Linked DNA regions of Macaca fascicularis. The protein of the gene in region 5 interacts with the protein of the main gene of each other region in a biochemical or structural test. Links are inferred from orthologs where the notes say so. Each region holds a gene or a part of one and is shown on either strand. Other genes may lie near its edges. The genes, in order: FLT4, ERBB4, ERBB3, GAB1, SHC1, PTPN12 and CSF3R.

What was found.
Region 1: the proteins of SHC1 (region 5) and FLT4 form a complex in vitro, tested with the Homo sapiens proteins (2 studies listed by BioGRID). The link is inferred for Macaca fascicularis from reciprocal best matches to the Homo sapiens genes SHC1 and FLT4.
Region 2: the proteins of SHC1 (region 5) and ERBB4 form a complex in vitro, tested with the Homo sapiens proteins (2 studies listed by BioGRID and IntAct, with this or other methods). The link is inferred for Macaca fascicularis from reciprocal best matches to the Homo sapiens genes SHC1 and ERBB4.
Region 3: the proteins of SHC1 (region 5) and ERBB3 form a complex in vitro, tested with the Homo sapiens proteins (2 studies listed by BioGRID and IntAct, with this or other methods). The link is inferred for Macaca fascicularis from reciprocal best matches to the Homo sapiens genes SHC1 and ERBB3.
Region 4: the proteins of SHC1 (region 5) and GAB1 form a complex in vitro, tested with the Homo sapiens proteins (2 studies listed by BioGRID and IntAct, with this or other methods). The link is inferred for Macaca fascicularis from reciprocal best matches to the Homo sapiens genes SHC1 and GAB1.
Region 6: the proteins of SHC1 (region 5) and PTPN12 form a complex in vitro, tested with the Homo sapiens proteins (2 studies listed by BioGRID). The link is inferred for Macaca fascicularis from reciprocal best matches to the Homo sapiens genes SHC1 and PTPN12.
Region 7: the proteins of SHC1 (region 5) and CSF3R form a complex in vitro, tested with the Homo sapiens proteins (2 studies listed by BioGRID, with this or other methods). The link is inferred for Macaca fascicularis from reciprocal best matches to the Homo sapiens genes SHC1 and CSF3R.

What each region holds. Positions count from the first base shown.
Region 1 is NC_088380.1:187,555,882-187,560,347, reverse strand, and holds the start of FLT4 (vascular endothelial growth factor receptor 3), read left to right. Parts: upstream 1-1,514; 5' UTR 1,515-1,529; coding exon 1,530-1,980; intron 1,981-4,466. UniProt on the Homo sapiens protein: Tyrosine-protein kinase that acts as a cell-surface receptor for VEGFC and VEGFD, and plays an essential role in adult lymphangiogenesis and in the development of the vascular network and the cardiovascular system during embryonic development.
Region 2 is NC_088386.1:107,522,273-107,525,947, forward strand, and holds part of ERBB4 (receptor tyrosine-protein kinase erbB-4), read right to left. Parts: intron 1,821-3,675; coding exon 1,747-1,820; intron 629-1,746; coding exon 538-628; intron 1-537. UniProt on the Homo sapiens protein: Tyrosine-protein kinase that plays an essential role as cell surface receptor for neuregulins and EGF family members and regulates development of the heart, the central nervous system and the mammary gland, gene transcription, cell proliferation, differentiation, migration and apoptosis.
Region 3 is NC_088385.1:62,869,380-62,873,054, forward strand, and holds part of ERBB3 (receptor tyrosine-protein kinase erbB-3), read left to right. Parts: intron 1-1,531; coding exon 1,532-1,683; intron 1,684-2,821; coding exon 2,822-3,008; intron 3,009-3,675. UniProt on the Homo sapiens protein: Tyrosine-protein kinase that plays an essential role as cell surface receptor for neuregulins.
Region 4 is NC_088379.1:148,551,634-148,555,308, reverse strand, and holds part of GAB1 (GRB2-associated-binding protein 1), read right to left. Parts: intron 2,899-3,675; coding exon 2,297-2,898; intron 1,089-2,296; coding exon 1,003-1,088; intron 812-1,002; coding exon 508-811; intron 1-507. UniProt on the Homo sapiens protein: Adapter protein that plays a role in intracellular signaling cascades triggered by activated receptor-type kinases. Plays a role in FGFR1 signaling. Probably involved in signaling by the epidermal growth factor receptor (EGFR) and the insulin receptor (INSR).
Region 5 is NC_088375.1:106,174,745-106,179,040, forward strand, and holds the start of SHC1 (SHC-transforming protein 1), read left to right. Parts: upstream 1-1,373; 5' UTR 1,374-1,594; coding exon 1,595-2,089; intron 2,090-2,670; coding exon 2,671-2,741; intron 2,742-3,284; coding exon 3,285-3,348; intron 3,349-3,504; coding exon 3,505-3,624; intron 3,625-3,861; coding exon 3,862-3,915; intron 3,916-4,087; coding exon 4,088-4,139; intron 4,140-4,296. UniProt on the Homo sapiens protein: Signaling adapter that couples activated growth factor receptors to signaling pathways. Participates in a signaling cascade initiated by activated KIT and KITLG/SCF.
Region 6 is NC_088377.1:143,849,605-143,853,279, reverse strand, and holds part of PTPN12 (tyrosine-protein phosphatase non-receptor type 12), read left to right. Parts: intron 1-3,123; coding exon 3,124-3,675. UniProt on the Homo sapiens protein: Dephosphorylates a range of proteins, and thereby regulates cellular signaling cascades. Dephosphorylates cellular tyrosine kinases, such as ERBB2 and PTK2B/PYK2, and thereby regulates signaling via ERBB2 and PTK2B/PYK2.
Region 7 is NC_088375.1:198,438,243-198,442,704, reverse strand, and holds the start of CSF3R (granulocyte colony-stimulating factor receptor), read right to left. Parts: upstream 2,844-4,462; 5' UTR 2,738-2,843; intron 1,492-2,737; 5' UTR 1,429-1,491; intron 57-1,428; exon of another isoform or gene 1-56. UniProt on the Homo sapiens protein: Receptor for granulocyte colony-stimulating factor (CSF3), essential for granulocytic maturation. Plays a crucial role in the proliferation, differentiation and survival of cells along the neutrophilic lineage.

The DNA.
Region 1 (4,466 bases), on a different chromosome or scaffold from region 5:
TGGAGGGTTCAAGGCTGCAGTGAGCAGAGATCACGCCACTGCACTCCAGCCTGGGTGACAAAGTGAGACCCTGTCTTAAAAAAAAAAAAAAAAAAAAAGTATATTCTGGGCCAGACACAGTGGTTCACGTCTATAATCCCAGCACTTTGGGAGGCTGAGGTGGGCGGATCACGAGGTCACAAGTTCGAGACCAGCCTGGTCAACATGTTTAAACCCCCATCTCTACTAAAAATACAAAAATTAGCCGGTGTGGTGGCAGGTTCCTGTAATCCCAGCTACTCAGGAGGCTGAGGTGGGAGAATCTCTTGACCCCGGGAGGCAGAGGTTGCAATGAGGTGAGATCGTCCCACTGCACTCCAGCCTGGGCAGCAAGAGAGAGACTTCGTCTGAGGGGGAAAAAAAGTATATTCTGAAAAGAAAAAAAAAAGCAAAACATATATTTTGGTGATAAAATGATAAAGAAAAGCAGGGAAATGATAATGCCAGGGTAGTGGCCATGTTTGGGGGTTAGTGAGGGGTCTGTGATGGGTGGTGAGGGGATGTGGGGATGTCATTCTATGTCCCTTGGCCTGGGGAATGGAAACGCAGATGTTTGCTGCTTTAAAATTCAGGTTTATAATATGCTGATATATTATGTACTTTCCATAAGTGTGTTACATCTCATAATAAATCTTTCAAAGCTAAAAAAAATCAATATATGATTGATAAATACCTAACTTCATGTATCATTTGGTTACCTAGTTTCCCCAACCTTATTTATTAAATTTTCTAAACTATCCTCACTGATTTGCGATTCTAGCTTAATAATATAGCCAATTCTTACCTGGGTTTGAGAGAGCTAGTAGTGGTTATCGAAAATCTACTCTTGCTTTTTGGCGAGGATGAACGGACTTTGGGGGGCGGGGTGGGGGGATGGAAAATGTGAATGAAACGAAAAGCAGGGAGGGAGGATGAGACAGTCATGGTCATGGGCTTTATTATTAAACAGGAAAAATCTAGAGACAAACTGAAAAGAGAACGGAAGTCTGTGAGAGGGTTGCCAAGTCAGAAAGCAAAAGCAAAGTGTCGCTTTATTAAAAAGGTGGGGGCGGGTCCTGATTGAGCTGAGAACAAAACATTTGGGGGGGGTTCTAAAGCTTGGAGGCCAGGCCTGCAGGGTGGGGGTCGGTTATCCCGGGTGTCCCGCTCAAGGGTGCAGCTTCCATCGGCACTGTGCATCGCCACTGTGCAGGTAGTTAAAGACTGCTGGACGGGTTTTGTTTGCTTTGTTTGTTTTTTTGAGGCGGAGTCTTGCTCTGGCTCCCAGACTGGAGTGCAGTGGCTCGATCTCGGCTCACTGCAACCTCCTTCTCCCGGGTTCAAGCGATTCTCCTGCCTCAGTCCCCCGAGTAGCTGGGATCACAGGCGCGCACAACCAAGCTCGGCTTATTATTTTATTTATTTATTTGTTTATTTTTGAGACTGGGTTTCCCTATGTTGCCCAGGCTGGCGCCAATATTTTCAAAGATTTAACATACTGCTATTTTTACATGTACTGCTTTTTTGCTTACTCTGGATTTTATCGATGGAAAGAAAGGACAGAAAAGGGCGCGTACCGCATTTTGTGCCCCTTGCCCACCAGGCTCCATTCCCTCCGGAGCGCACACCGAGGCCGTCTGCGTTACCCGCGTCCCCGCGCCCGGAGCCGCCCAGGAGGGGGCCCGGACCCCGCGGTGCAGAGCGCGCACTGCTCGGGTGGACCGGACGCCCCGCGGCGGGCTGGGAGGGACCGGGGGGAAGGGGGGGCGCGGGGGCGGCCTGAATCCCTGGCCCGCCTCCCCGGGTCCCCGCCCCGCCCCGCCCCGGGCCAGCCTGCGCCCGCGACGACACTTTCAGCCCCGAGCCGCGGCCGCTCAGGTCGGACCCACGCGCAGCGGCCGGAGATGCAGCGGAGCGCCGCGCTGTGCCTGCGACTGGGGCTCTGCCTGGGGCTCCTAGACGGTGAGCGCGGGGCCGCCGGGGAGGGGGCCGGCCGGGGAGGGGGACCGCGCACCTGGGGCGGGCGCTGAGACCGCTCCGACGGGGACGGGCGGGGGACACGGTGGCCCCGGTGCGCGGACGCCTGAGGGAGCACGGCGCTCGGGGCCCGGGACCTCGGGATGAGGAAAGGGCGGGCGGGGACTGCAGCCGGGTCAGGGCCAGGGCGGCCGGGCCGCGCCTCGGCGCAGGGTTCGCCCTCCCGGCCCCGAATCGGCTTCTCCGTGGGTGGCTCCGGGTCCTCCAGCCGGGCCCCGTCGGGCTGCGCGCTGAGCCTGGATCCTTCGTGCCCTTCCTCGCTTCCCCGCGGGGTCTCTGCGCCGCGCCGCTGGCCCGACCCACGCGCACCGGAGATCCCGGCCATCCCGGCCCCAGACCGGGTGCGCACTTCCCGACGCCCGACGTCTCCGCTCGCGGGCGGTCCCCCAGAGGGCGCTCGAGCCGGGCTTCCACCTCCCGCGGCCGGGGCTGCAGCGCAGGGGCCGGGACTCCCGTGCGCAGGAGGCTGACAGGTGCAGGTGCAGGTGCAGGTGCAGGTGCGCGCTGGGACCTCAGAGGAATCTTGAGGAGGCGAATCGGGGGCTGTCAGCGCGGCAGAAGGGGCAGAAGGCCAGGGGTCCCCGGATTTGAGGGGACAGGGGCCTTGAAGGCCGGCTGAGGAGCAGAGGCCCCCGCGGGAGGGTCCCCTGCCCAGGAGAGGCGGGGTTCGGTTTGTGTTGGGAATATGGCTCTGGCGGGGAGGGACCCAGACCTGAGGCGGAGGCGGAGGGGTTGGAGAGAGGGATTGGGGGGGATGAGGGAGGGGCAGAGGGAGTGGATGGAGATGTCAGGATAGGGAGTGGATGGCGATGTCAGGATAGGGGAGTGGATGGCGATGTCAGGATAGGGAGTGGATGGCGATGTCAGGATAGGGAGTGGATGGCGATGTCAGGGAGGAAGCTGAGAAGATGAGCTGGGAGTCCACACGGAGCTGGTGTCTCTGGAAATCAAAGGGTGGAAGGGCGGGGTCAGGGGTTCCAGTGTCTGAAAGGGGAGTGCCGGGAGCTATGAAGCCAGCGATGGGGACCTCAACATTTCTGCACGCCATAGGAATTAAATACTGGCTTTACATGCTTGTAATTCTCACAGGGAGTGTCAGACTCATTTTACACATGGAGAAGCTTAGAGCAAGGACGTGTGTCACTTCCCCAAGATCCCCAGGAGGCCCAAAGGAGCCCGACAAAGCCTGCCTTCTGCCCACCACCTGTATGTCCACGGGCTGAAGGGCAGAGGCCAGGAGAGGGGACAGGTCTGGCTCAACCAGGGGAGGAGGGAGGAGAACATCTGTCTGGGCCCCTGAGTCGGGCAGGTCAGATCAGGGTGCTGCCCTTGGCCCTCCTGGACCCCGCCCAGGACCAGGCTCTCACAGGTGCTCAGGATGTATTTGTGAGTGGCTGTTAGAGCTTGGTTGGACTGCAGGGCTGTAGAATGGGAGACACTTAACCCAGAGGAGACATGGGATGGGCGCCTGAGTGCAGTGTCTGAGGCTGAGCTGAGGACCTGGAGAGGGAGCAGAGAGACCCAGGAGGGGACCCTGGAGGAGGGGCCCAGAAGGCAAGGGGGCTTCCAGGGAACATTCTGCAGGTCTGAGGAGAACCCGGAGAGGCCAGTGTGCTGTGCTCCCGGCTGGAGCACGGCGGGATGTGGGGTGAAGGGTGACGAGACCATTTTTTGCAGTGGGTGCAGTGACTTAGCGACCCAGTTATGAAGAGGAGAGAGGGCGTAAGTGGGGGCCCCATGGAGAGGGGTGTCCTGGGCTGGACCTGGGTTTGGCTGGTGGGGAGATGGCAATAGAGACTGAGGTCATCCCTCCCTAAGCCCTGCACCTTGCTCTATCCCCTGCTAGGCTGAAGACCCCGGGAGCCCCCAGCTTGGTGGGGGATGCCATGGCGGGAGCACAAGCCCTCAGCTGCAGTCGGGTGTCAGAGCAGCTGGGTGGGAGCAGGCCGGAAGCCTGAGCACCGTGAAGCTGACCCCTTAAACATGTGCTGTTGGTCATAGAACCGGACTTGTCCTGCCTCCCCCGTAAAGTCATTTCTGTGTGACCTGGGCCCCCTCCTTTCCCCTCCTTGCACCTCAGTTTCCCCAAGCATAACCATGGCATACGCTGGCAAGCACCGGGGTTGTGTGGGTTGTGTGTGCTTGGGCTGGACTCCAAGACTCGGTTTCCTGCTTCAGTTCCACAGTCTTGCCCTGGTGGAGAGGGTAGGTCGCAGATGTCTCTTGGGGCTTCGTCTAGAGAGAGGCCATTGGCACCTCTGCACGGTGGCTGCCAGCTTAGGGACATGCCAGAGCAGGGTCTGCTGGGCATCTGGAGTGGCCTGGTCTCGGGACGTTTGCCCTTGCTGTGAGCTGAGTCACACAGGCCCAGGACTGGACAGATGTGTGGCCCAGGGATGCAAGTCAGTGCA
Region 2 (3,675 bases), on a different chromosome or scaffold from region 5:
ATGTGAATTTAAATTATTGACATTATAATTTTATCAATGTCCTTCTAAACCTGAATTTTCTTGTCCATTTATTAACCAGCAGAACATGTAGAATGGCGGACCTGTTCCTAAAACATCAGCCCTGTGATGTGTAGTTCAAATTATAGCACCAGAGACAAGAACAGAATCTCCTGGCACAACAGCATGTGTATCCTATACACCCGAGCCATTACCAAGTCACACAACTCTTATCTTTTAGTTATGATAACATCTGATAAAAAAGAAAGTTTCATTAATTGTTCATATCTTGCACCCCATACTTGCAAAATACTAATATTATTTTGAGTGACAGACAATTGAAAAAATCAAACTATGTATTCTGTAATACTTCATACCATCATTGGAGGTATTTTCAATGAGCTTATCTTTGGAAATAAGGATGGAAGCATGATTTCCCCAGAATCAGTAAATCAATAAGAGTGATGGTTTTGACTTAATGCCCAGACGATGCTCCTCTTGAAATCTGTGAGACCTGCAACTTTAAACATATCCACTTACCTATAGAGTACTCTTCCACCAATGGTCACTAGGTTAGAAAAAACACTGAAATCAGTCATGTTTGGCGGCCATGACTGTATGTTCAGGAAACCTACAAGTGAAGAGTAGTAAAAATAAATCAGAATATCATTGTCTTAGTATTAGTGCTGATTTTTCTTGAAATATGGTGAAAACATGTTGAAAGGTGGGAAGTGAGAAAGGAGTAGTGAACATTTCTATTTTTGAAGCACTCTATTACGTATGTATTCTTCCAAGATTGAGTCTCTTACCCGGTAAAACTTTATATGTTGAAAGGTTTCAATGACTCAATTTGATTTATTCTTATAAATGCAAGAATGTAGTCTAACTAGATGAAGAGAAAAATATAGTTTCAATTTCTCCGAAATCTTTTACCTCTTCATCTGTATACTTACGATATCAGTGTCACCCTTATATTCTAAGACATTTATATACGTATCTAACCTTTCTCATTAGATTTTGCATTATTTTACGGTAAGTCCATGTCTGATTCATATCTATGGGCCCCATATTACCCACTAAGACAATGTTGAACACATTACAGGCTTAATATATATGTGCTAAATAAATGCTACATGTTATCCATGTTCAAGAGTACTTCTTTTGAAGAAGTAAACAGAAAAACATGGGTTCAAAGATCAGTTGACACTTGCAAGAGTTGTAATGTCAGACTTTCAAAGACACTCATTTTGTAATTCCATGGGCTTTCAAAATATGCATAAAAGCTAATACCATCTTTAAAAATAATACGAGTTTTTACAAACTAAAATCTGCTTTGAAAATTAGTTGCTGATTCCAATCTTATGTAACTTTTTCTGTTTTGTTTTCTTTTTTGTTGTTATTTTGTGATGGAGTCTCACTCTATTGCCAGGGTGGAGTGCAGCGGCGTGATCTTGGCTCACTGCAATCTCCACCTCCTGGGTTCAAGCAATTTTCCTGCCTCAGCCTCCTGAGTGGCTGGGATTACAGGCACGCACCACCACACCCAGCTAATTTTTGTATTTTTAGTAGAGACAGGGTTTCACCATGTTGGCCAGGATGGTCTCAATCTCCTGATCTCGTGATCCACCCGCCTTGACTTCTCAAAGTGCTGGGATTACAGGAGTGAGCCACTGTGCCCAGCCAATCTTATGCAATTTTTTTTTAAAATTACGTTGTTCATAGCACAACAGTTGCAGTTTAAAAAATTACCTGTTATCTCTCTGACTGTCCGAAAGACATTCAGTTTCTCTGGGTCTATGGCTTCAATTGCATTGTAAGGGTCCCTAGAAAATCAAGAAGAAACATAGCCAAATTTAAATTTTAATAAAGGAGTGAAAATATGAGAAATGTGACAGTAGTTATTTTATTCTAATTTAATTTTAATTAGCAATAGGGGCGTTATCAATGCATGTCTAAATTAATCTGTGCTAGATGTGGAGGAGGAATAGTAGGTGTTTTGTGGACATTTTTGATGTCACAAAATATGAGATTTTCATCAAAGCCTATTCTAGATCTATAAGATTATTCAGATTGAACTATTCTGATGAAATTCTCAAAGATAGCAAGTTCATGTATGAACCACTTGACATTGCTTTGTTTTAAAAGTTTATTATTGATTTGGAAGAATATATATAGTCTAGAAATAAATTATATTATAGTGAGAACAACTGGTATTTCTGCTCCTCAAAGAAGTATACATTGCTAATAGTACCTGGAATTCATAAGAAGGATAGAAACAAGCACAGATAAAATTGACATTTTTTTCTTCTGTAGCTCTACATTTATCTACTCATGAATTTTCATAATATTTATGACATTGTCCAAAAGTATCTCTTCATACAGATTACTTAGAACCATCTTGTTCCTATCTAGCTTATTCATATTCACGTTTATAACACAGGAACTATTCGCTTCCATGTATATGAATTCAAGTAAGACTTCCAGTTTTGTTTTTTATTTTTAAGAAATCCACAGTAAGTTTTAAAATTTTATTACATTAAAAGACATTTCGTGCTATCCTAGGTAGACACCTCATATTAACATATATCATTTACAGAGAGATTAAATTTTATCCATTGGCTGCTTCTTCAAGATAGGTCAAAACTTCTAAGAACAGTGATCTTAGGCTTTTTTAGAAGTATGTATCTACCTGTAGCAGTCAAACAAATTTTATTCTTACTGTAGATATCTCTTCTTTTACCGGTCTCTGAGAACATTCCTTTTCGGTAGGGTGAATAACCACTAGTGATCCACTCTAAGTAGCCTTAATAGGGCTATCAATCAACATGCTCCATAATCGCCTGACAAACAGATAGGCATATGGCCTATGTCCTGAGGATTTGTGTCTGAATCCATTGGCATTTATTCATGCCAGCATTCAAGTCTTGAAAAGAGTATCAGTTCCAGCAACTTGATCTCTGGAACCACCTTATACTGCCTTTCTGAACTTGGTTCATCAGCATATTCTTCTCTACTGCAAACCATTCCACATCTTTAAAAAAATTTGCTTGATTAAATTACTGTTTCAAACCAAGAAGTGCAATCAATACAATGTACTGCTAGTTTAACATGGAGTACTTTATACTAGGCTCAAATACTGGATATTGCTGAGGTTGGAGAAACACTAAAAATGTGTTTCCCTATAATTCACACATAAACTATTGATTAAAATTTTCTCAATGTCATATTAATATCTCACAAAAGCTTAAAGTCTCAATTAAACGTTCTAGCAAACTTTCTCTATTTACAAGCAAAGATATATGGAACAAATAACTATGCTTTCGATGAATATGAAGCCAAAAATGAAGTGTATCATGTAGGAAAACTGTTGCCTTCACTTTTTAATGTGCAAAGAATTTTGTATACAGAGGAAATATCAGCTCTGCAGTACAAGAATGAGCTTTCAACATTTGTTCTTTGATGAAAAGCAGTGTATAGAACAGCTCAGGTCATATAATCAAATATTCTGCCTTTATTGAGAAAGACTCAAAATTCAGGGCAAGCACACAATAACGGGGTCAGTCCAAACCTTTACTGAGAACACTTCTATGTTACCGGGAATGAAATGAATTCCGGAATGTTAACATGAAGCCCAACAGACCACAGATATTTTATACAGTTAATTTTAGAGATTCAGGA
Region 3 (3,675 bases), on a different chromosome or scaffold from region 5:
GTGTATGTTGTGTGTGTGTGTGCCCACACTACTACTTCCCTGTGCAGAAAACTTGGCTCCTCCCTTATCTGGGGAGAAGGATTGGCACTATAACTTGGGAAAGGGGGTGTCCTGCCAGGAAGGGGACTGGGGTGGGGCTGTTCCAGAAATGACTAACCTTCCTAGTCTCTTTCATTTCAACCCAAGGACCCTGGAGTTACCAGCTCCTCTGGAACTAGCTCTCTTTGCTGGGACTAGCCAACCTTCATGGGGAGTGATAAGGAGCCCTCCAAGGTCAAGAATTCAGACTAGGGGTATATAAGAGGGATTGGGGCCTCACCAGTCTCCCTCCCTCCATTCCCACTGTTGCCTCCCACTGACTACCACTGCCTCAGGGAAGGGTGGCTGGAACAGGTGGTATCTACCCCCTATTCCCCACCCCACACGTGGTCTTTCGCTGAACCAGAAGAAAGAGACTGGGGTAGGGCTTCAGAGTCCAGGATTTTCCATAGGCCATTGTCCACCACATTTGCAAAGAGTGAACTCCCAAGGCTGACATGCCATGTGCCTCTAGTCTAGGCTTTCCCCTAGTGCGGGTGAGGATTGCCATGGTGAAAGGCTTTTTCATGAACCTCTTCTAACAATGAAATTGGGTGGAGGCTCAGTGTGGGGCATCTCCTACTATTTCTCTCCAGGTGTCCCTGTATTTGCTAAAAAATACTCTAGGGCTGGAAAGTGATGCTGAGGTTGCTAGAGTGTGTTGGGATAGGGAGAGAGAGTGAGAAGGAAAGCCTGAGTTTAGGAACGTGGGGAGGCAACCAGCTTCTTATCTTCCAGCTTTAAACACAAAGCTCCCATTGACCCCCCCCCCACCCCACCACTGCCAGAGCTCCCTCCTCTACTGAGGTCACTTGTCTGAGCCCAAGGCTTGAGGGTGGAGGGGAGTGCTGCTGAGGATGGGGTGTCTAGGGATAGGGTGGGGCAGCCCCCCTCCTGGATAGAATCGCCTCATTGTGGGCTGGACTGTGGCCCCAGGCACTGCCCCCACCCTCTGCCCCCATCCCACCCTCAGTTGACACAATAGGGGCTGTGTACTAGCCCCAAAGAGATATTTATTCCAGGACCTAGAGAGAGGCAGGATGAGGGTAGAGAAGTGAGTGCCCTGCTTGGAGGGGGAGAGGAGGGTAATCAAAGTTTCGGCCCTTTCCTAACTTCTCTTTTCTAGGGAGGGAAACAAATTCACTGTCATCCTTCTCTATTAACCCCTTAGTACCCAGAGTGGTACCCAAAAGAGGCACAGAGGGGTCTCAGGTAGAAAAAGGAAATCTTCACCTTCCCATTCATAGAATGGTAAAGGGATTCTGAGAAGAGAGAAAGCTCTCAGGCCACTACAGCTTCTGCCTATCGCTTGTGGGAGGGTTGGAGGCAAATGCCCTCTGATCCTGTCTAATGTAACTGGAAGAGGGCAACCAAGGGGGTGATCTTGGGGGATGGCAGATGGGCTGTGAATTTGTGTCCAGCCCTCAGCCACTCTTCCCTCTGCTTTGAACAGTGTGTCCTGGGACTCTGAATGGCCTGAGTGTGACCGGCGATGCTGAGAACCAATACCAGACACTGTACAAGCTCTACGAGAGGTGTGAGGTGGTGATGGGGAACCTCGAGATTGTGCTCACGGGACACAATGCTGACCTCTCCTTCCTGCAGGTTAATGTGCACCCTCCTTCCTCAACCTGCTCCTCTTTATTCTCCCCTAGAACCCTCCTTCCCTCTTCAGGGCTACCTTCTGCTGGAGTTCACCCTTCCTAAGACTCAGGAGTTCCTAAGATCCAAACCCGCGTATTTCTGGGGACAGTGGCTGTAATCTGGGACCTATGGTCTCGCTGTTGTAGCCAGGGATATATAGGGGGCAGGGGCAGAGGCAGGGGCGGGGCAGGTGGTGTTCTGTGGTAGTGCGAGGTCAGCAGGGACTAGCGCAGAGAGACACCTGAGGACCGAGAGGGTACCTGGGGAGATGAAGAAAGGGCCCGCCTGGCATGAGGAGCTTTGAGGAGAAAGCTGCCTGTCTTCACTCCCAGAAGTGACATAGTAGTGTGACACAGTCTACTCCCTACTCCAAAATAGGAATTAGCAAGAGTTAAGGAGAGGTGCAGTGGCTCATGCCTGTAATCCCAGCACTTTGAGAGGCCAAGGAAGGCAGATCACTTGAGGTCAGGAGTTCAAGACCAGCCTGGGCAACATGGGGAAACCCTGTCTCTACAAAAATACAAAAATTAGCTGGGCCTGGTGGCACGCACCTGTAGTCAGCTACTTGAGGGCTGAGGTGGGAGGATCGCTTGAGCCCAGGAGTTTTACACTGCAGTGAGCCGAGATTGTGCCACTGGACTCCAGCCTGGGTGACAGAGCGAGACCGTCTCACCAAAAAAAAAGGTCAAGTGCGGTGGCTCATGCCTGTAATCCCAGGACTTTGGGAGGCCGAGGCAGGCGAATCACCTGAGGTCAGAAGTTCGAGACCAGCCTGACCAACATGGAGAAACCCCATCTCTACCAAAAATACAAAATTAGCCAGATGTGGTGGTGCATGCCTGTAATTCCAGCTACTTGGGAGGCTGCGGCAGGATAATTGCTTGAAGCCGGGTGGCGGAGGTTGTGGTGAGCCAGGATCGCGCCATTGCACTCCAGCCTGGGCAACAAGAGCTAAACTCTGTCTCGAATTTTAAAAAAAAGAAAGAAAGAAAGAAGGAAGAATTAAGAGTTAAGAGTCTTTAATGCCTGAAGGAGGAGAGGGGATTGAGATTTTTTTGCCCTGTTGTCTCTCTCATTGACATAATCTGCTCTGTCACAGTGGATTCGAGAAGTGACAGGCTATGTCCTCGTGGCCATGAATGAGTTCTCTACTCTACCATTGCCCAACCTCCGAGTGGTGCGAGGGACCCAGGTCTACGATGGGAAGTTTGCCATCTTCGTCATGTTGAACTATAACACCAACTCCAGCCACGCTCTGCGCCAGCTCCGCTTGACTCAGCTCACCGGTCAGTTCCCGATGGTTCCTTCCGGCCTCACCCCTCAGCCCTCAGACTGGTACCTGCTTGATGATGACCCAAGGCTGTCCACTCTAAGTGCCTTTTCCAAGGTGCCTGTCACCTTGGTAACTGTCTAATGGTCCATTGCTCCCTAAGCAATAGAGGGCCCCCAGTAGGGGGAGCTAGGGGCATCTACTCCAGGGAAAGGAACCATGTGTCCTGGTGGGGCTGGAGTCAGAGCCGGATCTGTTACCATTTCTCTAACTTCAAAGTACAGTGTACTGGAGGCCAGGCGTGATGGCTCACACCTGTAATCCCAGCATTTTGGGAGGCCAAGGAGGGCAGATCACTTGAGATCAGGAGTTTGAGACCAGCCTGGCCAACATGGCGAAACCCTGTCTCTACTAAAAATACAAACAAAACAAAACAAAACAAAATTAGCTGGGGATAGTGGTGTGCACCTGTAATTTCAGCTGCTCAGGAGGCTGAGGCAGGAGACTCGCTTGAACCTGGGAGGCGGAGGTTGCAGTGAGCCGAGATCGCACCACTGCACTCCAGCATAAGTGACAGTGAGACTGCGTCTCAAAAAAAAAAAAAAAAGCCAAAGCACAGTATACCTGGATGTCCCTCCTTCCCTAGGAATTCTACCTTTGCTCTCCTAAACCAAACCCCTATG
Region 4 (3,675 bases), on a different chromosome or scaffold from region 5:
TGCAGAAGTGTTTGGGTTGGCCTGCAATATTTTCTTAAAAATAATTAAATTAGTTGACAGAACTTTAAAAATCGAGAGATAATACATATAAAATCTGAAATCTCTGGCTTCTCCTGAAATACCAGAAGATTTGCCTGAATGGGTGCATCACTTCACAAGTCAACAAAGGATTGTAGCCGAGTAGATTAGTTACTCCCATTAGATGGGGCTAGGGCAGTCCAGTTTCTTCTAATTCTCCCCAGTTGTCCGCTCACCCTATGAGTATTTTAGCTTGTAACCTCTGCTCTAGAGATAGGAGACTTATAAATATCACCTCACATCAACATGTGATATAGAAACTGTTAATTTATAAATGGCAGTACTGCTTTGCTTAAATAAGTTGATGGCTATGGAACTATGAAATATTTCAGAATTTCTAGTCCAAATTCTGTTTTGGATTTAATGGCAGTTAAAAACAGATCTAACTTGGCACTCCCCAAGCCTTTTACTTTGCCATGCTCTCCTTACCTTTTCTGTCTGGCTTGAGGTTCCTATCCACGGGGGGTGGTTCACAGTCTGCAACAGGAACTGGCCTTCTGGGAGGGGTTTTTGGGCTGGACCTGAAGCCCATATGAGCAGGAGGAGGAACTTGCATTCCAAATGAGGAAAAATCAAATGTTCCTGGAGTCATTGGCACATAATTGGCTTCCTGAATTGGTTCTGTAAAACTGCTGGAATGTTGTCGTGGTGGTGAATTGGGATTCATTGGGACGTAATTTTCATCCAGTTCTTCACTTGAAACACTTCCCACTGTCAACACATTTTTGACTTTCTAAAACACATATATATTTATTTTAATAAACAAAAACTCTTCTCACACATGAAAACACAATTGTAAGTCAAATCCATTCATATGGATCTCAGCGTACTTTTATTTCATGATATCACTTAGTCCCATGGCACTAATTATGAAGATTTAGACAATGAAATACACTTGATAATGCCAAGGTCAATTATACTTACAAAATGGTTATGGAAGCCTTCAAGTGAACTAGATCTATCACTTGGAAATGTCCGTGGAATATCATAGCAGTCTTGAGAACTAGTATCTAAAATAAAGAACAAACTATCAACATTTCTTCCCATCTTTGCCAGCTCTCAGGGTCATTGGGATGACCTATTCTCTTTCTCTCATTATACATATGCAGACACATATGCACACACATAGATTTTAAAAAGGATGCTCACAGACTTGTATCTTGAATCGGCATATTAAACCACTAGAAAATGCAGACACTCACTCATATGCTAACCAACACCAATATCTAATTTTGAGTGTGAGTGAATGTCTAAGTCTGGGATAAGATAGGTTATCTAAAGATGAAGAGTAACACCTCTATTTTCTCATTGTTTGCACCACCTTGGACCTAACTTACATTTCACTAACTTATAACCAGGTTATACAGTCACTTCAAGAAAGGAGTTAGAAATTGTTATTGAATGCTGAAATAAGTAATGATTTAAGTAGTAATCATAGATACATTAAATGTTTATCTTGGAGATAGCTGGGGAAAAGTCTACCACAAAATACAGAAATTTTAGCACATAGTATTTAGAATATGTGCATTAAAAACTTTAGCTTTCTATTTTTAGGACTTTGAGAATCTCAGAGAATCACCCAGACTCATTTTCTCTTCTCCTCTCAAGGTCTGTAACTTTTGGTTCAGACTCTAGGAGACAGTATAGGAAAGTATACTCACTAACAATTAGTGAAGTGAGTAGTGATAAGGGGAAAGAAGATTCAGCTCTTTAAACACAAGTAAAAATCAAAGAGAAAGCAGAATGGCTTGACCAGAACAGAATATCACCTGTTAGACACAACACAAAAACTGCTTACATAGGAAGGAAGGAAATAGGGCTCAACAGATGTGACTTAGAAGCGGCCATAATGGCACACAAATACAGGAAAGGGTATGACTCGGAGAGGCTTTGTGGCTGGTCCATTTCCTGCGCTTCTGTCCCAACAGAGGGCCTATCCACCCAGGATTATAGAAAGTGGGAGAGAGAAGGGCACACTTCCTGAGGCAGGAAGGCATTACTAAGGCCATACTTCTTCAGGGATGAGAAACTCCAACTCTCTTTTCCTTCCAGCAGAGCATGAATGCACATATACCCTTCCAGGTAACTGTAGAGCTGAAAAAAAATGGACTGTATTTTGTAGCATAGTATATTTAACTACACTTAAAAGAATAAATATTCAGAAAAATCGATTTTCTATCATTAACCTCTAATAGAGAAGAAGTCAACTAGAGCTGACCTTTTCGCAATTTGTTTAAATCCACAGTGGAAATGGTATTACTACGTGATGGCGGCATCCCTGCTGTAGGGATACAGTAACTATTGTCAGTGTCTGAGGCGGTGCGTGGGATACTACACGTTTCCACAGGAGATCGGTCATGAGCTGGATGTGGTTTCGGTGGCCGAGGTGGAGGAATATCTGGAATAGTGTCTAGCTTTGATGTCTGTCCCAAGGTTCCTTCTGGAAATGTTCGTGGAATCTGATAAGTATTACCAGGTGTTGGAGGAATGTCATAACTAATAGATACATGCCTCATTTGAGTCTCTACACTCGATGTCCCAGATGGGGTATTAAAAACATAGAGTTCTCCATCTGCTTCAGTACTTGACGGAGACACCTTTGGTAAAACATCATGGGAATAACTTCTGGGCAGGTTATAAAGGCTGGAGTCAACTGAAGCAGATGTGGCACGTGAAGGTGGAGAGTCGTATATCATTTGCTGCTGAAAAAAGCCATTCATTCCATGTTTGCTCTGGGAGGAAGCAGGATTTTTATGAGAAGGGACGTTATCATTGCAGTCTGTTTCAGAAGAGGTGGATTTTGCAGAATCAGCGTGTGTTCTAAATAAAAATTGTTAATGACAGAATAAACAAGGTGAAGACTAAGAATACACTTTTTATAAACATATTTATAGCTTAGCAATCAAAAGATAGGGCTTTTCTCATTAGATTTTTCGTGTGATCCATAGGATTTAAAGCACAAATGTTCTTTAGCTTTTATGATTATACACCAGACAACAAAACCGCCACCACAAAACCAACAGAAGCATTCTCTCTAATTCTGTCCTATATCTGCCCACACCCCCAACTCCACCTATTAAATTTGCACATAAAAACACAATCCCTGAAGCACTGGAATTAAACATTACAAAACTCTGGGAAAGGTAAATGATTAATGCATAGACACAAGGAAAAGCATTTCCTCTGAAGAGCATGCAAAAACCTAGTGCTAGTACAATTTATATAGTTGATCCATTGGTCTTAAACCTCCCCGTGGCAAATTTGTTGTTCTGTAAAATTAAAAGTCTAATGATTACTTGGTATTGAATAAGGTCAATGTGACTTACAAGAAGGTGACATCTAATTGTTTTTCACATATCTTCCTTTCCACTACTTTTCTTTAACAAACATTTAGCCAACATTAAAGAGGATCGAAATACACGATACAGAGTTAACCAACTCCAAACAATAACACACTTTGAGAAATCTCATTAAAGTATATTTATGTACATTTTCAGTCTCTGCATTTTGAGGTATCACAAAATTTGGGTATATGACAAGATGAAGCTAACAACACAAGCACACTCTCACTTCCTTAATGCTAAACAAGATACCTGA
Region 5 (4,296 bases):
GAGCTGGGATTACAGGTGCTCACCACCACGCCCAGCTAATTTTTGTAGTTTTAGTAGAGACGGGGTTTCACCATGTTGACCAGGCTGGTCTCAATCTTCTGACTTCAGGTGATCCACCCGCCTCGGCCTCCCAAAGTGCTGGGATTACAGGTGTGAGCCACCTTACCCAGCGGGAATATGTATCTTTAACTTGTTTTTTGTTTTTTGGTCGCTTTCCAGCTTTGCCTATGGCATTCTCCAGAAGAGCAGTGGCAGGAAGCCGTGGGTGGCAGGAATGAGTTTGGGACTGTTCCCTGTGTCCAGCTTCAACCCATCTTCTCCTGACACCCCTTTCTCCTGTGCTTACTTGTTTTTTCTCCTGTTCTTATTGACACAGATGTGTCTTCTGATCTCTCTGTCCCTTCCTGGCCTGTCGTTTCTGCTTCTCTTGGAGAACTGTTTCTTCCACCTCCTCCAGCCAGGCTCCTCCCCTGGTGTGAGGGACACTGTGCTGTTTGGTGGGGCTTTGGGTCCTGTAAGAGGAGGGATATGAATTGGGGTGGTTTGGAGTGGGAGTGGGGACCTGATTGCCTCATTCTCACCCTTGACAGTGTGCTGTGTTAACAAGGCCTGTGGAAAGGGGAGAGGACAGTGCTTGGCTATGAGCCATGGGTCTTGGTGTGGTAGATGGCATACATAGAGAACAAGCCGTGACCAGCATGTCCTCTTGTTCCCCTCTTGCCTGGTAGCTTCCTGATGTACCATCCAGGTTGGACTTTATTCCCCTTTTTTCACCAACTTTGCTTCTCCTCTTGACCCTGCTCTGCATCCATTGGGACCACTTCCTTCCCATCCCCACTTCGCTAGCTCCAGTCCACAGCTGTCGTAGCAGAGGATGCTAATGGCCCAGGCTTACTGTATGGGGTAGTGGTTGGGGGTGGCCTGGGCTGGAGGGTGGGGAATTCGAGTGTCCAACCAGAACAGGAAGGGAAATGCTGAGCTCTGAGATCTCCTCCCTTTTCCACCCGCAGCTGCCTCTGTTTCCTCCCTCATTCCCCTCTACTCTAGCCTGGCTTCCTGCCCCCTTTGGCCTGCCTGTGTCCGGTTTCGAGTGACCCAGACCTCCTATCTCCTTTCTTTCCATCCAACTCCTCCATGCTTCCCTCCCACCCCCACTTTCCTTCTCCCCAGATTACTAGTTGTTTGTGTAGGGCAGGGGAGAGGAGCTTGGATAGCCCTACCCTCTGCTCCAGTCCGAGGTTGGGGCGGGGTGGGGGCTCAGCCCCTCTGAGCCTGTGAGTCAGCACTGTCCTCGTGATTGGTCTCTCCCTTTAGCTCTCCGCCCCTGGGGAGGAGCCAGGCAGCTCTGGGTCCAGCCTGTTCTCTTCTCAGCCAGAGAAGAGGCTCCACGTTGGGCGGGGATGGGGCCCGAAACTGTCTGGGTCTGAGCTGGGGAGCGGAAGCCACTTGTCCCTCTCCCTCCCCAGGACTTCTGTGACTCCTGGGCCACAGAGGTCCGACCAGGCTAAGGGCCTGGGAATACCCCCTGCCTGGCCCCCTTGCCCAAACTGGCAGGGGGGCCAGGCCGGGCAGCAGCCCCTCTCTCACCTCAGCTATGGATCTCCTGCCCCCCAAGCCCAAGTACAATCCACTCCGGAATGAGTCTCTGTCATCGCTGGAGGAGGGGGCTTCAGGGTCCACCCCCCCGGAGGAGCTGCCTTCCCCATCAGCTTCATCCCTGGGGCCCATCCTGCCTCCTCTGCCTGGGGACGATAGTCCCACTACTCTGTGCTCCTTCTTCCCCCGGATGAGCAACCTGAGGCTGGCCAACCCGGCTGGGGGGCGCCCAGGGTCTAAGGGGGAGCCAGGAAGGGCAGCCGATGATGGGGAGGGGATCGTAGGGGCAGCCATGCCAGACTCAGGCCCCCTACCCCTCCTCCAGGACATGAACAAGCTGAGTGGAGGCGGCGGGCGCAGGACTCGGGTGGAAGGGGGCCAGCTGGGGGGCGAGGAGTGGACCCGCCACGGGAGCTTTGTCAATAAGCCCACGCGGGGCTGGCTGCATCCCAACGACAAAGTCATGGGACCCGGGGTTTCCTACTTGGTTCGGGTGAGTGAACATCCTCCTTTCCATTGCCTCCCAGACCCCTCCAGTTCTTCTGCTCACTCCAGCTTGGCTGGAATTCTTTTTTCCTGCTGTTCCCCAACAACCCTGTTTCAGTGTTCTATTTCCTAAACCTTTCCCATCCCTTCCCCAATTCTGTAGCCCTTTCCCTTCCAGCTCTGCCTGGGCCCCCTTCCTTCTTTTGACTCCCCTACCCCCACCCTGCCATGCTTAGCACAATGCCCAGCATGGCAGAAGCTCTTAATAAGTGCTGGAAGGAGTGACTTCTTGATCCTTTCCTCCATTCTCCTCTCGCTTTCTGGAGTTGTTGCTCCATCCCAGTCAGTGCCTGTCAGTCCCCTCCAAACTCTCTCCCCAGTGCGTGAGGTCCTTCTAGCCTGCCTTTTCTTTCTCTGCTCGTTCCCTGTTGTCTTTCACCTTGGTTGTGGGATGTAGACACGGAAGAGGGCAGAACTTCTTCCTCTTTACTTCTCTTAGGGACCATATGGGCAAAGTCCTAGGGCCCTTTGTGAAGGGACTGGGGTCAGGGAGCGGCTGACCTGCTGTCCTCTCCTCCCTCCCCTTAGTACATGGGCTGTGTGGAGGTCCTTCAGTCAATGCGTGCCCTGGACTTCAACACCCGGACTCAGGTTACCAGGTTAGTGGGGAGGGAGTGGACTGTGGGAGTCCTGGGATTAGTGAGGCCATGGGAAAGGGCGGAGGGGAGTGGGTCACTTGGGTGCTGCTGGTTGGGGCTGATCTTTGGGTAGTAAAGGGGATTGAGAGAAAGCTGGGATAGTGATTCTGCCTCTTACTGAAAGGAGGCCCCTCTGGCCCGGATCCTCCTTACCTGTCCAGCCTTGGGAGTTGTGGGGAAGGTAGCAGAAGCAGCTGGCAGGTGGAGCTGGAGTAGCAAATGGGGGTAGATGGAAGGTTGCTGCTGCCTTTGGGAAGGGAATGGGACATTTGGTAGCTGGAAGGGGGTGGGGCTATACCCATTGAGGCCCTAACCCAATCAGCCAGGAAGCGGCCTCTCAGTGTCATCAAATATTAAAGGCCCTTAATTCAATCCACCACGACAAAGAGCCTGGAGTGCCCTGGGAGTCTGGCCTGGCTTTCCCCTCCCCCAGCTCTGTGGCAGCCCCAGTTGAGTGGGAGGCAGGCAGGCAGGCGCTGGGTCTGAGTACCCCTCTTTCCCCAGGGAGGCCATCAGTCTGGTGTGTGAGGCTGTGCCGGGTGCTAAGGGGGCGACAAGGAGGAGAAAGGTACTTGGGGTCCTTGGGGATAGGGATGCTGCTGGGAAATGTGGAGGGACAGTGAGGAGGCAAGTGTGGGGCATGTGGGGAGAGGGCCAGGAGACAAGAGTATGGTTTGTCTGTGCTGGGAACCCTCACCTTCTAAGACCCTGGGCCCTACCTTAGCCCTGTAGCCGCCCGCTCAGCTCTATCCTGGGGAGGAGTAATCTGAAATTTGCTGGAATGCCAATCACTCTCACCGTCTCCACCAGCAGCCTCAACCTCATGGCCGCAGACTGCAAACAGGTTGGTGGAGGTGGGCAGGTGGACCAGAAACACCGATGGGGGTGCTAAGGGGAGATCTAGTTAGGAGGCCAAAAACTAGGAAGAGGGCTTGAGAGCAGAAGACCAGTAGGGAAGGAGGAAATGAGGATATGGGATAAGGAACCCAGAGAATGAGACTGGGGCACCAGGGTTCTGGGCCCTGAGGCTGCCTGACACATGGCATTCCCTTCCTTCTCCATCCCCTCCCCTAATTCTCAGATCATCGCCAACCACCACATGCAATCTATCTCATTTGCATCCGGCGGGGATCCGGTGAGTTGGGGAACAGAGCAAAGGTGGTGGGAGAAGAGCAAGGGGCTAGTGATTGGGAAGACATTGATTAGAGAAGTGGGGGTGCTAGGACTGTGGGGATATCTGAAAAGGACTGGGTTTTAGGGGTCAGGAGTAAAGTGGAACTGTAAAATTTTCTGACCTTCCTCCCCAGGACACAGCCGAGTATGTCGCCTACGTTGCCAAAGACCCTGTGAATCAGAGAGGTGAGGCATGGTGGGGAGCACTGGGTGGGTCTGGCTGTTTGAGGTGAGTAGGACCTGGGGTCATTTGTACCCACTCTAAGTAGATCTAAGTGGGGGTTCCTGCCGAGGAAGATGAGGGCCCCTGTCTGTGCCTCCTCCCAGTGGGCTCAACTCACTG
Region 6 (3,675 bases), on a different chromosome or scaffold from region 5:
GGCGGATCACTTGAGGTTAGAAGATCAGCCTGGCCAATGTGGCGAAACCCTGTCTCTGCCAAAAATACAAAAATTAGCTGGGCATCATGGTGCATGCCTGAGGCTGAGGCAGGAGATTCGCTTGAACCTGGGAGGCGGAGGTTGCAGTAAGCCGAGATCGCACCACTGCACTTCAGCCTGGGAGACAGAATGAGACTCTGTCTCAATAAAAAGTAAGTAAATAAAATACTGATTATGGAAAAGTGGTCTGATGTACATGTCGGGAAAATAATACACCTCAATTTATATCAAAATTTTATTTCATCCTTTTAAAACTCGTATTTTCTATTTGTATTATGATACGTTCTTAGGATAACCTATTGGTCTTTGTATATGCTTTATAAATTGTAGGAGGTGCCTACAATTATTTTTTATTTTAGATTGCAAAAATTTGATAGCTACTCTTTCAGATTAAGAACCTACTTGCAGGCCAGGTGCAGTGCCTCACACCTGTAATCCCAGCTCTTTGGGAGGACATGGCAGGTGAATTGCTTGAGTTTAGGAGTTTGAGATCAGTCTGGGCAACAAGAACATGGCAAAATCACATCTCTACAAAACATACAAAACTTAGCCAGGGTGATAGTGCACACCTGTAGTCGCTGCTACTTGGGAGGCTAAACTGGGAGGATGGCTTGAGCCCTGGAGGCAGGGCTTGTAATGAGCCAAGATTGTGCAACTGTACTCCAGCCCAGGTGGCAGAGTGGGACTCTGTCTCAAAACAAAATAAAGAAGAAGAATCTACTTGTAAAACTTCAACAGATATAGGAATATCTTATGAGAGTATTGCTGTCGTTGTAATATGATCAATATTCTGGAGATATTCATTTATCTTGTCATGTCCTATTCTAGGAATGTTGGAATGTGTCTAGAGAATCTGAACTTCACAGATAAAATTATTTATTTAATTTATTTATTTATTTTGAGACAGACTCTCGCTCTGTCACCCAGGCTGGAATGCAGTGACATGATCTCAGCTCACTGCAACCTCCACCTCCCGGATTCAAGTGATTCTCCTGACTCAGCTTCCTGAGTAGCTGGGATTACAGGCGCACGCTACCATGCCTGGCTAATTTTTGTATTTTTAGTAGAGACGGGGTTTCACCATGTTGGTTAGGCTGGTCTCGAACTCCTGACCTTGGGAGGCCTTGGCCTCCCAAAGTGTTGGGATTACAGGCATGAGCCACCATGTCCAGCCCACAGAGTCTCTTTTAAGGGGAAACCTGGTGTACCATGTGATTACTGCCAATTATCTGGTTGGATAATTAAAAGGTTGATCACCTGCGGGGAAAAAAAAAAAAGCAAAAACTCTGAGGTGGGATCCCGTGGCTCACCCCTGTAATCCCAGCACTTTGCGGGGGCCAAGGCAGGCAAATCACTTGAGGCCAGGAGTTCGAGACCAGCCTGGCCAACATGGCAAAACCCCGTCTCTACTAAAAATACACAAATTAGCCAGGTATGGTGGCATGTGCTTGTAGTCACAGCTGCTCAAGAGATTGAAGCACAAGAATTGCTTGAACCCAGGAGGTAGAGGTTCCAATGAGCCAAGATGGTGCCACTGCACTCCAGCCTGGGTAACAGAACGAGACTCTATCTCAAAAGAAAAACAAAAACTTGAATATACAAGCCCTCAAGAAATTTGCATCATATAAAGTTCTTAAAAAGCAACAAAGCCTGGGCAACATAGTAAACCCTATCTTTTTTTTTTTTTTGAGACAGGATCTCATTCTTTCACCCAGGCTAGAGTGCAGTGGCATCATCACAGCTCACTGCAGCCTTGACCTCCCTAAGCTCAGGTGATCCTCCTACCTCAGCCTTCCTAGTAACTGGGACTGTAAGCACACACTGCCACACCCAGTTAATTTTTTGTATTTCTTGAAGACACAGGGTTTTGCCATATTGCCCAGGCTGATTGTGAACTCCAAGTAAGTCACGGTGCGCAGCCTTTCTCTCTCTCTCTTTTTTTTTTTTTTTTTTTTTTTTTTTGAGACAGTCTTGCTGCGTCACCCAGACTGGAGTGCAGTGACACGATCTCAATTCACTGCCATCTCCACGTCCCGGGCTCAAGCAATTCTCCTGCCTCAGCCTCCCAAGTAGCTGGGACTACAGGTGTGTGCCACCACACCTGGTGAATTTTTGTATTATTAGTAGAGATGGGGTTTTACCACATTGCTGAGGCTGGTCTCAAACTCCTGAGCTCAAGTGATCCACTCACCTTGGCCTCCCAAAGTGCTGGGATTACAGGCGTGAGCCACGGTGCCTGGCCCCCATTTCTTTAAGGAAAAAAATAAAAGCAACTAGAGGGTGTAACCCACCCAAACAAAGGAGTATACCCAGAAAGAGGAAGATGGGACCTGGGAAACAGGAGAATCTGAAACCAGAGAGAACATTAGCTCTGTGGTGGCTTAGGGAACCAGTAGTCCACACTGGAGCAGAAGGCCAAAAGTTACTAAGAAGGATGTCTGTGGTATTGATAGTTACTGTGTGTGTTTGTCATTATTGAGAGGAGGTATACCAATCTGCAAGAAAGTTAGAAGAAAAGCTGAGTAACTGATGGTGCATAGAGAGCTAAGCAATCAGAAACCCAAGGCAGTGGTTAGGGGAAAACAAGACATTGTAGAAGAAAAGATATGAAATCATGGTGTCATAGATGTGAATAATATCTGCAGTCATATGACTGAGGTAACGAAAAATTACAATATAACAGTATTGGAAAGATAGAGAAGGACACTTCCACAGTAGGAAGTCAGTAGAAAATATGTGAAATAGAGATCAAGAAATAACTTTTGAAATAGTCTGAAATACAGAGGTAAATTTTAGAAGCAGCTGTAAAAAAAAAAAAGGTTGAAAGTGGATGCCTCTGGCTAACAGGAGGGCTACAGGGCAGAGACTATGTTTTTCATTAAAAGTCTTTTTAAGCAGTATATGTATTACCTTGATGAACATTAAATTTTCTTAGTCTGAAAAATTACAGTTTTCACAACCAGATTCTAATGGCTCTTAATATACTAGTCTTAGCTACATAATTCTCCTGTATCAACTTGTTTAACAGTCTTAAAATGCCCTTTTTAAATATTTGTTTTTCAGTTGCCTTGTTGAAGGGGATGCTAAAGAAGAAATACTGCAGCCACCGGAACCTCATCCAGTGCCACCCATCTTGACACCTTCGCCCCCTTCAGCTTTTCCAACAGTCACTACTGTGTGGCAGGACAATGATAGATACCACCCAAAGCCAGTGTTACATATGGTTTCATCAGAACAACATTCAGCAGACCTCAACAGAAACTATAGTAAACCAACAGAACTTCCAGGGAAAAATGAATCAACAATTGAACAGATAGATAAAAAATTGGAACGAAATTTAAGTTTCGAAATTAAGAAGGTCCCTCTCCAAGAGGGACCAAAAAGTTTTGATGGGAACACACTTTTAAATAGGGGACATGCAATTAAAATTAAATCTGCTTCACCTTGTACAACTGATAAAATCTCTAAGCCACAGGAATTAAGTTCAGATCTAAATGTCAGTGATACTTCTCAGAATTCTTGTGTGGACTGCAGTGTAACACAATCAAACAAAGTTTCAGTTACTCCACCAGAAGAATCCCAGAATTCAGACACACCTCCAAGGCCAGACCGCTT
Region 7 (4,462 bases), about 92 Mb from region 5:
CCCAAGAGCCATGTAGAACACTTCTCAGAGCTGTCCACCGGAGGGTCAATTTATCCCTTGGATGGGAGGGAAGATGGGAAGATTTACCCACTGACCCCTGCCCCCCATTGGTCAAGGGATGCCTCTTGGGGTGTTCACTCCCTGGCACATCCAGGTTGGGCATGCATGAGTACTAGGCAGGTTCTCCTGGGGAAGCCATGCCAGTGTTGTCAGGCACACTCCCTGGATGAAAGGGAGAGCTCTATGGAGCAGCTGAGGCAAGGGGCTGTCAGGTTACACCTGCAGGAAGCTGGCTGCCTCAGCCATGTGGGCTGAGAGAATATCAAGTGGGGCACCCGAGGGGTCCAGTATGCCCCCACTTCTGGGCACAGACCTCTGGTGGCCTTCTGGGGTCAGGCATCATATGGTCGCGGCCATAGCACCTGGATGGAGGGTGCCTTGGCTCCAGTCTTAGGAAGTATGCAGAGGTTTCTACCACTTGGGTGGGTATCCAGCCTCATGTTCACCCTGCTCCCATTGGGGTCTTGGGGCCAACACCTGATCCTCCAGCACGAGTTGGTGCTCTTGGTGGCAGATCAGTGGGAATTGTTGGTCAGCTTGCATGTACATATCTGGACACATACACGCAGGTGGTGTCCCAGCAGGTCCCTCGTGCTCAGCAGGGAGAAAGGTAGGAGAATCCTTTTCTCTCCCTCCCAGAGAGAGGTGTGGATAAGAACTGCCCAGATAACCAAGGCTGTTCTTGCTCTCAGGGGCCTTACCCAAACCCCCAGTCTATTCGTGTATAGTGCAGTATCAGAATACCCAGTGACTGCTAGCCTGTAAGTCTCCTTTGTGCAAATCAGAAAGAAAACACCCCATCCTTGGGACGGATGCAGCACCACACTAGGACCTGGCAACTAGGGAACAGCCTGGATTTCGGCTCTGGTTACTCCTCAGTTTTGTGCAGTGCGAAACCTGCACAGCTATCCCGAGCATCTGTCTACCCATTGGTGGTTGGTAACCTTCTTACTACAGCATACCAGTTTGATTATCCATCCCCCCCAACACTGGTCGGGGAAGATTTAGCCTCCAAGGCCCAGATTTTGGGACATTGGTTTTCATCTCTATGTGCTTTTGATCATATCCCAGCCCTGTTGCCCTAGCCAGGGTCAGCTTCAGGCCTAGCCTGGGCCCCGTGCAGTACCACCATATCCACCCCCACTGGCTCCTGTCCAGAGTAGACAACCTAACCCAAGAGGCCCCGGCATCCTCCCCCTGCTTGGCCTCAGTCCCTGGTCCTCCACTGCAGCCCTAGACATCCCCCAGCCTGGTTGAGTGGGCCTAGGGCCTGTTCAGTCTCACTCTCTGGGGGGCCGATATACAGAGAGCTTTGGAGCCCAGCTCAGACTCAGGTCACCTGACTTGATCTCCAGCTCTGCCACTTACCAGCTGCTTTGTGACCTTGGACAAGTTACTTCACCTTTCCGAGCCAAGCCTCAGTTTCCCCATCTGTGGAAAAGAAAGAACATTAGCACTCACTCCTCAGGGTTGTTGTGAGGATGAAATGAGATGATTATGGTAAAGGCACTTAGCACTGTGCCTGGCATGGAGTTGGCACTCAGCAACCGTAGGTTCTTTTCACGAGCCGTAAAACGAGTCAGCAGCTCATGGAATCCAGCACAGTTCAGTTCTCGCCTCACCCCTGCCTTCCTCACAGCCTGCGTGGTCACACCTCCCAGGACTGCCACCTTGCTTTTGTCTGTGCCACACTGCACAGTTCCAAAGCCCCATTTCTGGATCCCCTCTTCCTAGCTCCCTGGCCCCCTGGCCCTCCCATCACTGGCCATCTCCTCTGGGCCCTGCAAGTGCTCGCTCCCGTGGCTCAGCACACCTTAATGCCTCCTGGGCTGGCTGCTCTCACATCCCCTCCTTCTGTTTCTCCCTCATCACACTCAACCCTCTCCCCTCACACTCTCTTCCCCAGTTCACACCCCTGGCCCCCTTGCTGTTTCTACTCTCACCGTGGGAAGGGTGGGGAGGGAGGAGGGGGCTGGGAATAAACAGAGGGGAGAGGCCCTTCCAGATGTGCTGCAGATAGAGAAAAAGAGAGAGAGAGATACAAAGAGTGGCAGAGTGAGGAGGTGACTGAAATCCGCACAGACCAAAATGACAGAGACCCACCAAGAGGATGACTGAGGCCAGAGAGGCGTCGAGAGACACAGAAAAAGGGCCCGATGTACACTGACCCAGAGAGTGGGGGGCACTCGGAGGCCCGGAGCCCAGGAGGCGGTCTGTTACCAAGAGTTTAAGATTCAAGAGATAGCAGGAAATATGCGAGACAGAGAAACTCAGAGAAATAACAAGCCAGGGAGAAGCTGAGGAGGAAAGATGGAAACAGAGAGTGAAATAGAGACCCAGACGGGGAGGGGTTGCGCGGCTGGAACTCAGACACACACGTCCTGAGAGGCAGAGGCATGGGGAGGGGAGAATGATTATGTCTGTCCCCAGCCCAGCTCAGTGTCCCCAAGGAGCTACTTGGCTGTGAGTGACTTCCCTGGTGCAATACCCCCCAAAGTAGGGGCATCCTGTGAAAAGAGACTCACTGTCCAGGGCTGGGGTTCCAAAGGACGAATCCTTGGCCCCAGGCCTAGGACCCCGGACATGAACACTTGGCAGAGCTGCGGGGAGTGGCCCCAGGATTCCAGCTCTCCATCAAGCCCAAGGCTCAGCCCCTCTGTAGGGATCCCCTACTCACGTTGGAGCCTCTGGCCCGGACCCTGCTTGATCTCCTTGGTCTCTCTTCTCCTCGTCAAAAGAAGTTCCTGAAACCAGCTGCAGTCCAGCTTCTCTCCCCGAGCTCTGTCGTTAATGGCTCGGCCTCTGACAGGCCCGGGGGCTGGGGATTGCAACACCTTCCGAGCCTCCCTCCTACCCTCCCTTGCGCCTTCGAGGGCACAGGCAGCCCCTTCCTCCCAGGAAGGAGCCTGTGAGGGAAGCTGGTGAGGCCCGGGCAGCCTTCCTGCCTTGGGGGTCTTAAAGGGCTGGGGAATGTGGCAACGATGTCCCCCTCCCCTGCCTCCGGATTTCCTGAGCTCGAAGCTTTGAGGCTGGGCAGGGCCCAGGCTCCCACCTGGCTGGGTTCCATCCCTATGCCCCCCAGCCTGGGGGAGCATCACTTGGAGGCAGACCCTGCCTGGAAGGCTCACCCGGCCCCAAGCCTCTTTTCAGCTCTAGCCTTGGGGCCCACGTCTTCACAGTAGGCAGAAGGGTGTGTTCCAGGTTCCAGGGAATTTTATAACCCAATACTCACTGCTCTCCTCTTCATTACGTATTCTGCACATTGCCCATAGACCAGGCAGATGGAGAAACAGGTATTCTGGGGGCAAGACAGGAGGATGTCTTGGTGAGGCACGGGGTCCTCATATGTTCACTAAAAATTAGTAATGTTTACCCACAATGGTTCTGCAACACTGAATATTTTGTAATTGAGTGAAATAGACTACATTTTATGTCTTTTATTGGTCTGTATTCATGATTCCTCTGCAACTACAAACAATTTTCCTTGTATTTTCTGAGAAAGGTTCAAACTGCTCATAGTTTATTGGATTCATAACCCAAAAAAGATTAGGTACCAACAGACCAGCAGATTGTCCTTAACATATAATCATTTTTAGGCGTCTGGGTCTGGTGTGATGCTGCAGACCAGGGCTGCAGTTCTAGTTCCAGGTCAAATGACCTGACTGCCCACTGTAACCCTCCCAAGATACCCCACAGGCTCTGCTCACTCAGTGAGTCCCGTGGACTGTCTTCTTTCAAAATAGAACCAGAATCCTGGGTATTCACTGTAAAGTTCAAGTTGGCTCTACGTTCAAATATTTTTATGATAATATATTGGAAAATACAAATATAACTGAAGCCAATACTAGCTAGCTCCCAGCTACCCTCATCTCTTGCCTAGATCATCGCAATAGCCCCCTCCCTGCTCTCCTGCTTCCATTTCATCCTCGTTCCCTCACCTGTCTGTAGTTCCTTCAGCAGCCAGTGCGATATCAATCAAACAGAAGTCTGATCAGGCCATCCTCGTCCCAACTTTTCCAATGGCTCCTGTCTCATTCAGAGTCAAAGTCAAAGCCCTTTCAATGGTCTACAAGGCCCTACACAACCTGGTATCCCCATTACCTCCTGGATCCCTCTCCTGTTATTCTCCCCTTTGCTGCCTTGCTCCAGCTACCCTGTGTTCTTTGCTTCTTGAACTTGTTATGCTATCTCTTGCCTCCGGGCCTTTGCCTTTGCTGTTTCATTTGCCTGGACTGTTTCCCCTGCAAATAGCTACATGGGTTGGTCCCTCCCCTTCAGGTCTTTGCTTAAATGTCCCTTTCTCATTGAGGCCTTCTCTGGGCACCCTTTTCAAAATTTGCAAGCCCCTTCCCTCCCACTCACTATCTCTGTCTCCCGCGTATCCCTTTTCACCATCTGATAT